3 linked regions of the Saccharomyces cerevisiae S288C genome follow. The gene in region 3 interacts genetically with the main gene of each other region. Each region holds a gene or a part of one and is shown on either strand. Other genes may lie near its edges.

Region 1 (3,448 bases), on a different chromosome or scaffold from region 3:
TTCTTGCATTAATAACATCCATATAAGACATCGGTGAAAGTAGCCGTGCTAAGTATTTTAATGTCTGCTCATTTTCGCAAAATGATTCTGTGAGCATTGAAACTATGGCAGATTCAATCATTCGGGCTTCCACTATAGATAATTGCTCATGTAATTGGTGTGATCCTAAAATTACTTTTTGAATGAACGTAGTGGTTATTATCTGCATTATGGCTTGCGTTGCTCCTGTCCTTCTAGTATAAAAATAAACCTATCACTTTTCTTAAATATGCTGCAATTTTTCCAGAATGCCTCCTTGCTGTTGATAAATGGCTTCCAATCTTCGCCAATACTAGAATGTGACCGGCTCGTCTCTTTTGTAAAGTCGATGTAATTTTCGTTGGACTTTTCAATGGCATTTGATATTGAAAAAAATGATTATCAATGCTGGAGGGCCCGGCTAAGACTTAACCCTGAAGCTTCTGTCTTTACAAAATATTATATGAATTTATCCCTGAATTTTACATACTATGAAATTTTAGTTTTGGCAAAGAATTTGACACGCTACTTACTCTTGCAACTTTTTCAGACGCATTAGCATCATCAACACGCAACTCATCTTTTGATTCTGTGGCTGTCCTTGCAATATATCGCACGGTAATCCAGGGAACTTTATCCTTTATATCCAGATCGTCAACTTCGATTTCAGAGTTAAAGTTTTCAATGAAATTTCTTTCATGAATATTGATGCTGGAATTATACACCAAAAACTCATTTAGTATGGATACCGTACTCCAATATGAAAACTTTCTCATACATGCTACTACGAGAGATATTATCAATTCACCATTCGTACAGTGCATATAACAGGGGTAATGCCCTTTATCAATCAGAAATTTAACGCATCGTACTACAACATCGTATTCAATAGGAACTGTTTTCTTTTTCCTTTTAATCTTGGGTTTGGTCTTGTCTGCCTTTCTTTCACTTTGACATTTTATATGAATTGTCTTAATGTTATTTTCTTCACAAAACTTTACCATTAGAGGATCAGTGCTCAAAGGTTCTGGTGTCAAAGATAATATGTATTTCAATCTAAGGGTTCTCAGGAATGGGAGATTGATTTCTCGTGGGTAAGATCCTCTATATAAATTTGGCTGTACAGTCGAAAATTGTAACGGAGTCACTAGTGTCATTTTGATACATATAGCTTATTCTAGATGTGTGAACTGGGTATTCATAGCAATTGTGAACCCATAGTTTATATTGGTACTCCTTTCCTTCTTAACAGAGTCTCTTTTTTTCTTTCGCATTTTTTTTGGCCTTACATCAAATAGCGGTGATTAATGATAAAAAGCACTTAGCAGAAGTCATGCAACAAAAAAAGAACACAACATAAGGGTACAGCTAGTGAGCTCCATTGCTTCGACGTTTTAGGATAAAATGGAATTCTTTTATGAAGAACAAGTAGCTTGTATCGAAGATGATAAAATAAGCAACTCTCATACCAAGGAAACTGGATCAACAGAAAACACTGAAAATAACGAACTTCAGAGCCGAGATGACAAAACAAATGAGGCCTTCCAAAAGTTAGAAGAGGAAGTCAATAAACGATATGAAAAGACTACAAGTGCATTCAAAAAGTTAGTAATCGAGAAAGATGACGGAATTGAAATTAACTTGCCAATTAGCAATGAAACTACAGAGACTGCACAAAAGTATTTGAAGAAACTAGACGAGAATATTCACAGCGTGGAAAGTCTAGCCCAGTCATATTGGAGCAAAATGAAAACTAAGAATTTTTGGTCTGGCTTCAGTAGCTTCGATAATGCTGCAGAAAATGACTCTAATGACAAGGATGAGAATTCGAAAGAAAATGAAATTGCTGTGGGTGGAAATAGAACAGAAGCCGAACTAAGGACATTATCTAAAGATAAATCGGTTTATTTAGACAATAAAATGGATTTGCAACTGGACCCGTTTGACGTGGATGAAAAAACTGAGGAGATATGTTCTATTTTACAGGGCGACAAAGATATCTCCAAATTAATGAACGACATCGTACCCCATAAAATCAGCTATAAAGATTTCTGGCACATCTATTTCTTACAAAGAAACAAAATTCTAGATAAAGAAAGTAAAAGGAAAGAAATATTGTCCAAAAAGGAAAAGGAAACGGAGGAAAAAGAAGTTGAGTGGGATGACGAAGAAGAAGAAGAAGATGATGACAAAGTAGAAGCAGTAGCTGACAACAAATCTAAAGGGGAGACGAAAGTTGCTGTGTCTCAAGAGGGATTGAAAGATGTTAGTGACCATGTTGGCCTCGCCAACAAGGATGAGAGCAAGGACGACGACGACGATGATGACTGGGAATGAGTGATTTTTTTCATATAAAAGATATATGTAATGCTATAAATATTTACATACTTTTCATGACGTATTATGGTAGAAAGGAAAATCATCAATCCAAGAGATGCACAGGAGGAAGACAAAATCTGGGCGTGATCTCATCTTTACACCTTCTAAAAAAAAGTTCGTTTGTTACCGTTAAAATAAATCATTTGTATTTAGGGTTTTTTACTTTGACCTTAGATGGAAATAATGATATGCCATGTTGAACGGGAAAAAAAGTGTATAGACAACGGTTTTCAGTTATTTATTCAAATGAATCAAACACCGTAGACGCGGTGATAAAACAAAACGTATGCATTAGAGTTAATTGCATCGGCTTTGTTTTTGACAGGTTTATATTTGGTATCATCAAAATATAGCCATCCCTTCTTTAATCCCTTTTTCACATAGGCTGTATAATGACCACCATACAAAGTACCAAAGTGGCATGCTACACCATATAATTCATACTTAAAAGGTGGTATTTGTCCCCTTATTGGTAGTTCATCGTCATTAACACCTGGAGGAAAAACCCCGTCAAAATCATTGGCCCAAAATGGAGTCAAGTCCAACAAAAAAGGGTATATGACGAAGTCATTATTTTTGTTTAATAAATTATCAAATCTCTTTAAATGGACTATCAGATTCCTCGGTAATCTCGTTATTGTCAATTGTTTCGTGGAGGGCTGCCTTTTTTCACAATGTGGGCACAACCATTGCTCATCCACTTCCAAGTTCTCACATTTGGTGAACTCTCTGAAACAATCTTCAATGGTAATATTATTTCGGGAATTTTTTTTAGGAATAGGGATTGACAGCACCGTAAAAGGTTGGTATGTTGTCGAGGTATGACTACAGACTTTACATTTTAGTCGTGAGGCGTATTGTCCCTGAAATAAGTCGACAATAACACTGAAATCAGTAGTCAAGAATCGTTCCCACTCAATTGACGAGGCAATTCGCAAAGACAGTTTTTCTCTTCTCGCCTCAGCTTCTTGAGAAAGCTCCTTCAAAGGTGGGTTTGAACCGCATTGGTTCAAGTCTTCATGAAGACCATCTAGAAGGAATTGGCAAAACT
Region 2 (3,251 bases), on a different chromosome or scaffold from region 3:
TTTAAGTTATTTCGCCAAAGACTACTCCTTGGGCGCTACATTGAACAACGAGCAAATAACTACCGTTGACTTCTTCCAAAACGTCAACGCCTTTTTACAGGTCGGTGCTAAGGCTACAATGAACTGCAAACTACCTAACTCCAATGTCAACATCGAATTCGCCACTAGATATTTGCCTGATGCATCTTCCCAAGTTAAGGCTAAGGTGTCCGATTCCGGTATTGTCACTTTGGCTTACAAGCAATTGTTAAGACCTGGCGTCACTCTGGGTGTCGGTTCCTCTTTCGATGCTTTGAAGTTGTCTGAACCTGTTCACAAGCTAGGTTGGTCTTTGTCCTTCGACGCTTGAACGTATATATCTAATATATATATGTTCACTATATACCATATATGTGCTCGTTCTTGTTTCCATTTTTCTACTTGATCTTTAGACTTGTTGTTTTATTTATACAAATATATTAATGACAGAAAATATTCTTTGTAACGGCTGGTTCTCATAATCATATTGGTTGCTTGGCAGTGAGAATAGACTCACTTCCTGACTCATCATCACTTCCTTCCGCAGCCTCTAGCTCATTCAAATACAAGCAGTGTTTAGCAAAGCCAGGGATAACGTTTCTCGGTATTTTCAGATTGGTTTCGAACATTGTGATAAACTCCAAATCTACTCCATCTTTCATCCCACCAGAAAATAACCCGTACTCTTGGCATATACCTGCAGTGGACCATCCCTGTAACAACTTTCTTATGATTCCCACAACTACACCAACACGGTGCTTGCCCTTATTGGAATGCACTAAGATGGGATAGTTTCTGACATCCAGCACCAAGTGCAAGACCTGGTTCATTCTTTCTTGAATTCCTTCATCGCGGCTTGAATCCATAAATATGTGATAGTATTTTATCTTTTCTGACTCCAGGAAGCTTTGATATTCTTCGAGAGGCCTATCTTTATCGCCAATATATATTATGGTCTTCAAGTGTAACTGATGCTTGATGAAACTATAATTTAACGGCATCGGGTATCCCGATCGATATAACGATACATCCGTGCTCACCACTGGCGAAAAATTTAATGGGGGTATGTATTTCATAGCATCAAGAAACGTGCACTCTATTGGTATTTTGCCTTCACTTGTTGATATATCAACTAGACTTTAATATCTTAAGTAAACTCTCGCTTTTTTCTGATCTTTTTTTTAATTCTGGAAAATTCAGAAGAAAAAACAAAAATTACTGAAAAATCTGGGCTAGCACCAAGAGCTATTCATGGATGAATCACTAAATGAAAAAGGGTCTTTACTTTGCATGCTACCACTCACATGAATAGTATAGGGGAACCTGGTGACAGCCTCCCTTCTCACTTTCTGCCGATTTCCAATGATCACTCTGCAGAATTCTTTCATGAAACCCTTAATATGATTTCCTAAAGCGGGAAATAGTAAACATATCATAAAACATTTGTAAAAAAAAAAAATGTATAATTAGAAATTACTAGATTTTCAATTATATTTAGCAGCTATATGGGTTAATAATTTATAATGTTTATTAATAACATACCCACACTCTTGTATTATAATCAACTAGACTCATACCTTGTCAAAAGTTCAGAAAGAAACATCGGCAGAGATGGTTAAGAAAAACTTTATCCCGTCTGTATCGCTGGTCAGAAGAGACCTTCCTACTTTAGTTACTACTACAACTAGTTCAACCGCCCTGTCAAAGCCCACGTCAAGTGTAGTGTCCGAAACGAGTTCCAAGTCCCTTCCATCGTTAACATCTTCGGCTTTCTCAACTTCCAGTGGAGCAACATCCTCCTCATCACTAATTGTCGCAAGTATAACACCCCCATCTACAGCAGGAAACCCATTTATTTTAAATGCTGCTGATAAACCAAATGGAACTGTATACATTGCTGTGGGTGCTGTCATAGGTGCCATTTTTATCAGTATTCTTATATGGTGGTTAGTGTCCAGTTATTTGTCTCGTCGTTTCACAATGACAAATTCTTATGCAAATGATAGTAAAAATTTGTACAGGGGACACCACAAGCATAGTTCTTCTTTACAAAGCAATCCCTTTGACATCAATGATGAGAAATCATATATGCAGGATGATTGGGATTCTATGAGCCAATTAGAATCTAGCCAATACGAGGATGCTGCCTCACCATTCAACCCAATTCAGGATCCGTTCACAGACAACAGAAGATCCTTATTTATATCTCCTACTTTACAAGTGTCACAATATGAAAAAAGTCATAGCCGCCATCAATCAAAAGACACTAACATTTTTATTGACGATCCATTTTTATACGTAGGTACCTATCTAGAAGAAGAAGAAGAAGAAGAAGAAGAGAGAAAGCTGAACCTCAATAGACCACAAAGAGCAGCGTCACCTGAAAGAAAGGAAAAGAAAATTAACTCAATGGAAGGCTACCATAAGAGAAACCAATCCTCCTTGGGCCTCATACCAGTCGCTTCTGCTACCTCAAATACTAGCTCTCCTAAAAAGGCTCATAAAAGACAGGCGCCATCGATGTTTTTGGATGATGTCCTGAATGGTAGAGAAATAATCTAGATACCCTGACATCTAAGATACATGGTTGTTCAGGTTAAACATTTTTTTTTTTAGTCCTTAAAAATTGTGTAATTCAGTACCAAAAAAATCGATGTTTGCTTTTATTCTTTTCAAGGCCATACGGTTCTAACGCACCAGTAATCATCAGTACATCTGCCAAGATATATCTTTATCATATTCTTGAAAGGCCCGAAAATAACCCTCCAAGAGATAAAAAATTTTTCTGAATGGTAATTGGAAAGATAAAATTCTGTTGTGATCTTTGAACTACTTTATCTGATCTGGTCGTAACCATCAACAAGGCGAATTATGCATTCTTTGTTAAATATATACATGTGATCTTTCCGTACATATCTTTCCGATCCTCATGAAACACCGACACAGCTGCTACCAAAATGTGTGCAGGTATCTACAAAATTCTAACCACAAGTACTGAGTTAAAGAAGGAGCTAAGCAATCATGATCCGCGTATAAATATTAAACACTTTTGCCTTGAAGTGCTGTCTTCATAAATGGAAGGTGACAATATAGAAGGGTCTTGACCGATGTAATTTTCAGCAAGTAACAAAACTCACAATGAACAGTTTGCTAAGAGCAATGACAATCATCGAAAGAAGTTCTTGGCTTAGTGCGACTTACATCGTTGTAAATTCTCAACTATAATTAGCGTT
Region 3 (5,792 bases):
GTGTTTTAACTTTGGAGGATGTCATTGAAGAATTGATCGGTGAAGAAATCGTGGACGAGTCTGATGTCTTTGTGGACATGCATCAGCATATTATGAGACAACAACCGGGGCCCTTGAGCAAAAGGCACATTACTTCCTATTTGCATCATTTGTACACTAGCTCTCACAAGGAGCACAAAGCTGCTGACCAAGCTGATGAATCGTCTCCACTCTTGTCTCCATCCAATTCTAATCACCCATCCGAGCACCCACAGCAAGATTTGAATAATAAGTCTTGGAAGCAGAAGTCAAATGATGGTTACGACAGGTCCAACGCTGTATTGTCTCCAACTCCACAAGTGACGGAACATGGCACCATCATACCTTCAAATCTAGCGTCCAACCCGTTGAACGTAAATAAATCTTTTGTTACCATTAAAAAGCCTGCCAATGTTCCGAAAATCATTACTACACACACTCCTCATTCTAGCAAAGAGCCTTCTCCAGCACCACACTCAAATGATAAATCACTCTCCGCCGAAGAACAACAACTATTAAGTGATCATGCAGAGCTATCTCGCCAAGCTGTTCTCCATACTCAACGGTCGGGTCAACCAACTCAAGTTACTACCTCGACTAAAACCACGAGAAATAGCCCTGATAGTATATCAATTCCAAATTCTGGCGCGAATCACGGCAACGAAAATCAAAACGTTACAATCTCAACCTCTTACCAAAATACGAAGAATGGTATTGTGGAATCTGTCATCACAGTCAAAGGTGTTCCAAAAACCATCATTGGCCCCGCAAAAGATTGGGACGAATCCAAAAGTGAATATGGAAACGAGAATATCAATCAAGAGAATTCTAATCGAAGTGACGATAGAGAAAGTTCAAGTTCAAATGCAAGTTTATTTTCCAGTATTAAGAATAAATTTAAGAACGAAAACGCTAACAACAATGATCGTTCTAATTTCACCGACTCTTTGTCAAGAACTTCCAATTATGATGCCAACGGCTCCTCGTCGACCATAAAAAGATGAAGAGATTATGCCAAAAGAATTGCCCATGCATCATAATAACCATCATCACCGTTCTTATTAGTCCCAGACGCATGAAATCACAGGGGAGAGCAGCTTAAAATTTTTTCTACAGACATACAAGAAGAAATTGCAGTTTTTTTTTTTTTGTTTCTCTAACCTATAAATAAAATGTTTCAATACACATACTAAACAAAGAAAAAAAAATGTAGAGAATTTTATACGCAAAATATATAGACACTTTCCCCTATTTTTATCAATAAAAAAATGAACACATCAATGCCACTACCATCCATGCTCGAACAACATAGAAATGGATTCACCGTTATGGATTCTTCTAATTGCTTCACCGATTATGCAGGAGACATCAATAACATCCACTCTGTCCTTACCTAGGTACTGTAGTGTTCTATCTTGAGGAACCGTGTTAGAAATGATCAACTTATCTATACTACTTTGGCCGATTCTTTCTAGCGCATCACCGGAAAAAACACCGTGCGTTATTAAGGCATAAACTTTGGTAGATCCTTGATCCTTCAACAATTTCGCAGCTCTTGTAATAGTGTATGAAGTATCCACCAAGTCGTCGACTATAATACACACCTTGTTTCTAACATCGCCAACAAGCATGGTAGTTTGAACGAACTTGGACGAATTAGAAGATTGCGACGAGGTGGAAGATGTTGAAGTTGTTTTCTTCATTTCAAGGGCCGCAACCCCAGTGGCACCTGAAGAAGTAGTATTTTGGGAGGAAACCAAAGTAGTAACTAATGGCCTTGGAGATACTGGTAACGAACCACCAGAGGTTAACGTCGCATCTGGAGGGCCCTTCAATAACTGAGATCTTCTTTCTTTATGAATTAGGGCGAAGGACAATTCCAAGGCGTCTGCAATAGCCGTAGCTCTCTTTGCACCACCAGCATCTGGAGAAACGATCACAGCATCCTGATAATCTGGAATGCGATGCTGGATGTAGTTTTGTGCAATGGGTTTACAGTAGAGATTATCCACTGGAATGTCAAAAAACCCAGGGAACTGTGGATCGTGCAAATCCATTGTGATCACATGGTCAGCACCTGCAGCACTCAACAAATGAGCAATCAAAGTACCGGCTTGTACTACCCATAGCTTATAGCCTGCATTTTGAGCGTTGAACAATTCACCAGCGTCCGTGCTATTGCTTGTATTTTGTAACTTACCACCGGGAATCATAGGAATTCTTGAAAAAGAAAGCGTCTTCTTGATGTCGAAATTGTTATTCGCCGTAGCACTGCTGTTTGGTGTTCTGATAGGTTGAGGATTTTCTAAGTTGATAGTTGATCGTATTGCACTATCCAAACTCTTCAACGAGCTCTCAGCACCTGGTCTTTGCGTCATTAAAGAAGATGACACGGGTGTGCCTGGATGCGATTCAAAAGTATAGTTTTCTTTAGGCTTGGAAATTATGGGAGCACCCTTGGCAGTATATGGAATATCTGGCTGTCTCGAGTAGCAGAGATATGGCATTACGGCTGTAACCCTCGAGGCAGAAGCGGACTTGCAGGCACTGATTAAAATCAGCAACTGCATGAACGTGTCGTTCACCTGGCCACAACCACTCTGGATGATATATACATCCTTTTCACGAACAGATTCGCGAAGAGCAATGTTCGTTTCCCCATTAGAAAACTTCCCTAATTCTACTTTCGATGGGTGAATGTCCAAATTTTCACAGATCTTAGTAACTAACTCGGGGTGCGAGTCCCCTCCAAAAACAACAATATTACTCATTGACATCCAGACTGCGTTCCTAGCCTCGTAGCAACCTCCAACAAAGTCACTTTCGACCAACTTACTCTCATCTCATCCAGCCCTTCTCGCTAATCGTAGCCATTTATTATTTGATAGAAAATTTTTTTCAACTGCGGTCGAAGGGTAACAGCCATATTTTCCTTAATTGATTAGTATAGGAGAACTTGATGATAAAGTGTGGAAACCTTTCATAAACGGTTGGAGAAAAGAATCACATAGAGTTATGGTGAGCAATGATTAGTGGTGTGCTGGTATACTCATCGAGAGGTGAACTTGTCTTGAACAAGTTCTTCAAGAACTCGTTGAAGCGGTCCATATCCGATATCTTCCGAGTACAAGTGATCAATAATCTAGATGTTAGATCGCCTGTTTTGACACTGGGCTCAACTACTTTCCATCACATCAGGTCGAGGCATGGTGACAATTTGTGGTTGGTAACCATTACGAGAAGCAACGCTAATAGTGCGGCGATCTGGGAGTTCTTATATAAGCTTGATGCAGTGATGAATGCTTATCGATTGGATAGAGAGGAGGCCTTGAAAGAGGAATTCATGATTGTGCATGAGATGCTGGATATAATGTTGGGTGGAAATGGGATACCAATTGACACTGAATTGAACTCTGTTATAGCGCAGATGTCTGTGAAACCCGTTAGAAATATGGGCGGATTGTTAGATAGTCCCGATGGAAATGATGTATTATCTTCCTCTTCATCTCCTACTTCTTCAGCAGGAGAACTACATTTTCCCAAATTTTTGACAAAAAGAAGCAGTAGTTTCCTGGGTCAAGGAGACTCCACTTCTGATTTCTATGATAACAATAAGATCACTTGGAGGCCCAAGGGGATAATACACAAGAAGGATGAAGTTTTCTTGTATGTCAATGAGAGGATAAACATTCTGGTATCTAGGGATGGTTCTATCTTGAAATCATACGTTGATGGCACCATAGATATCACCACACACTTGAGTGGGACCCCTATTTGTAGATTTGGATTGAATGATTCTTTGGGAATGCAGTCCGAAGACGAGAAGAAATGGTTAGCACAGCAGCAGCGTCACTCTGGCAGCGATTTTGGAAACAAGAACTTCATTCCCAAAGCTGCTGCCGGTAGTGTTTTGTTGGAAGATTGCAAGTTTCACGAATGTGTCTCACTTGACAAATTTAACAGAAATCATATCATTGAATTCGTCCCACCAGACGGTTCGATGGAGTTGATGAAATATCATGTACGAGATAACATAAACCTGCCGTTCAAGGTTACACCTATTGTTACACATTCTACAAGAGATAACGAGATTGATTACAGGATAACATTGAAGTCTTTATTTCCTGGAAAACTTTCCGCCAAAGATGTGGTACTACATATACCCGTTCCACCAAGCACTGTGGATTGTAAGATAAGTGTCTCTAATGGCCACTGTAAGTTTGTGCCAGAAGAAAATGCAATGATTTGGAGGTTCAACAAGTACAATGGGTTGACGGAAAACACTTTAAGTGCAGTTACTGTGTCCACAAGTGATACTACTCAATTGAATCTTCAACAATGGACAAGACCTCCAATATCCCTGGAATTCGAGGTCATGATGTTCAGTAATTCTGGCTTAGTCGTACGATACTTTACCATTTCTGGAAAAGACAGTAAGCATCGTGCTGTAAAATGGATTAAATATATATCGAAAGCCGGTTCTTACGAGGTGAGGTACTAGCCCGTAATTTTTGTGTACATATATTTTTATCATGCCTGTATTTTTTATAGTAATTTCCTTTAGAATGCACATTTTGTTAATATTGAATATTTTCTATTATGAGAGACATGCAATTTAGTTTTTCATTGAAAAGAAAACAGGGAAAAAACATGGAAAAACCATACAAGACACCAAAAACACCATAGTAATGAAGATCAACAGCGCAATCAAGAGGCACTGGTACTTCTAGGCTTGAAAATTTGGTTTTGAATATAATGCCCCCTCAGATTCCCAATGAAAATGATGATCTCTTTACAAGGTGGCTTAAGTCTCGGGCCATCATACAAAGGGCAGTATCGACAAGAGAGTGCTTTGACTCAGAAGTATTTCTGGCGTCTGGTGGCTGGAATATAACGAATGAGATAATAACGTTAAAGAAATATTATCAACTCAAGTGGCCAAACTCCAGTTGCAATTCGTTTCATCCAAAAACCGTGGAGTTTATTAAAGAACGATTACACAACCTAGAAGAACATGACTCTTCATGGAAAATCCCAAATCCTGCTTACTCATTCAAGAAAGCCTTCTTGGAGGATACTAAATCTGCATTTTCCAACTTAGAACCCGTCTGGGGACCATCAAGGCTTTTGAATCCAGCTGAATTACTATTGCCACAGGACGAAAAACTACTTGTTCAAGAGATACCACTAGAGTTCGCACCTTTTCAATACACAAATAGGTTTGCTTATGGTGGTTTGCAGTTCAAGAACAATTTGTTCGTCACTTATGGGAGTTATTCCTTCCTGGCTGCCGGTCAATGCGTCGAAGTTCATAATTTCGATATACTATTGAACGTTTCGTCATTAGAAATATGTCACGCCTTATTGCCCGTGATAATACCAGATGACGGAGATGTAAGAAACTTCCGCAATTCATCATATGTGAAATTTAAGGATACACAGTTCAACAGCATACCTGAACTATGTTCTATCAACTTTATGAAGATTTGTAACTTCATGCATCAAGATTTTCTACTAGCTTGCGGTGACAACGGAATCGTTTATATCTGGGAAATCAACAAAGTTATTAAGATATTTAATAAATTTACTTCGGATATCTTGGGAGGCAAAGATAACAGCCGGGAAAGATACATAAATGTTGATCCATATATGGTGTTAAGAGTAGAGGAATCTTGTTGGAGTGTTGATGTAATAGATATAAATGGCATCATATATATCGCTGTTGGCCATAACAAGCCTGGAGTTACAGTCTTTGCATTCGATAAAGATGTAAA

Evidence for each region. A genetic interaction does not mean that the proteins touch.
Region 1: mutations in PRS5 (region 3) and OCA6 together harm fitness more than expected from each alone (negative genetic interaction), as found in Saccharomyces cerevisiae (2 studies listed by BioGRID).
Region 2: mutations in PRS5 (region 3) and OCA2 together harm fitness more than expected from each alone (negative genetic interaction), as found in Saccharomyces cerevisiae (2 studies listed by BioGRID).

Annotation. Positions count from the first base shown.
Region 1 is NC_001136.10:582,291-585,738, forward strand, and holds OCA6 (protein-tyrosine-phosphatase), read right to left. Parts: upstream 1,176-3,448; coding exon 501-1,175; downstream 1-500. Other genes in the region: RTR2 (putative protein-serine/threonine phosphatase), read right to left, coding at 1-208; DOS2 (Dos2p), read left to right, coding at 1,423-2,355; ubiquitin-specific protease DOA4, read right to left, coding at 2,649-3,448.
Region 2 is NC_001146.8:515,092-518,342, reverse strand, and holds OCA2 (Oca2p), read right to left. Parts: upstream 1,095-3,251; coding exon 501-1,094; downstream 1-500. Other genes in the region: porin POR1, read left to right, coding at 1-349; YNL058C (uncharacterized protein), read left to right, coding at 1,630-2,580. UniProt on the Saccharomyces cerevisiae protein: Required for normal growth in the presence of linoleic acid hydroperoxide (LoaOOH).
Region 3 is NC_001147.6:209,247-215,038, reverse strand, and holds PRS5 (ribose phosphate diphosphokinase subunit PRS5), read right to left. Parts: upstream 2,796-5,792; coding exon 1,305-2,795; downstream 1-1,304. Other genes in the region: MAM3 (Mam3p), read left to right, coding at 1-1,022; APM4 (Apm4p), read left to right, coding at 3,044-4,519; CRT10 (Crt10p), read left to right, coding at 4,774-5,792.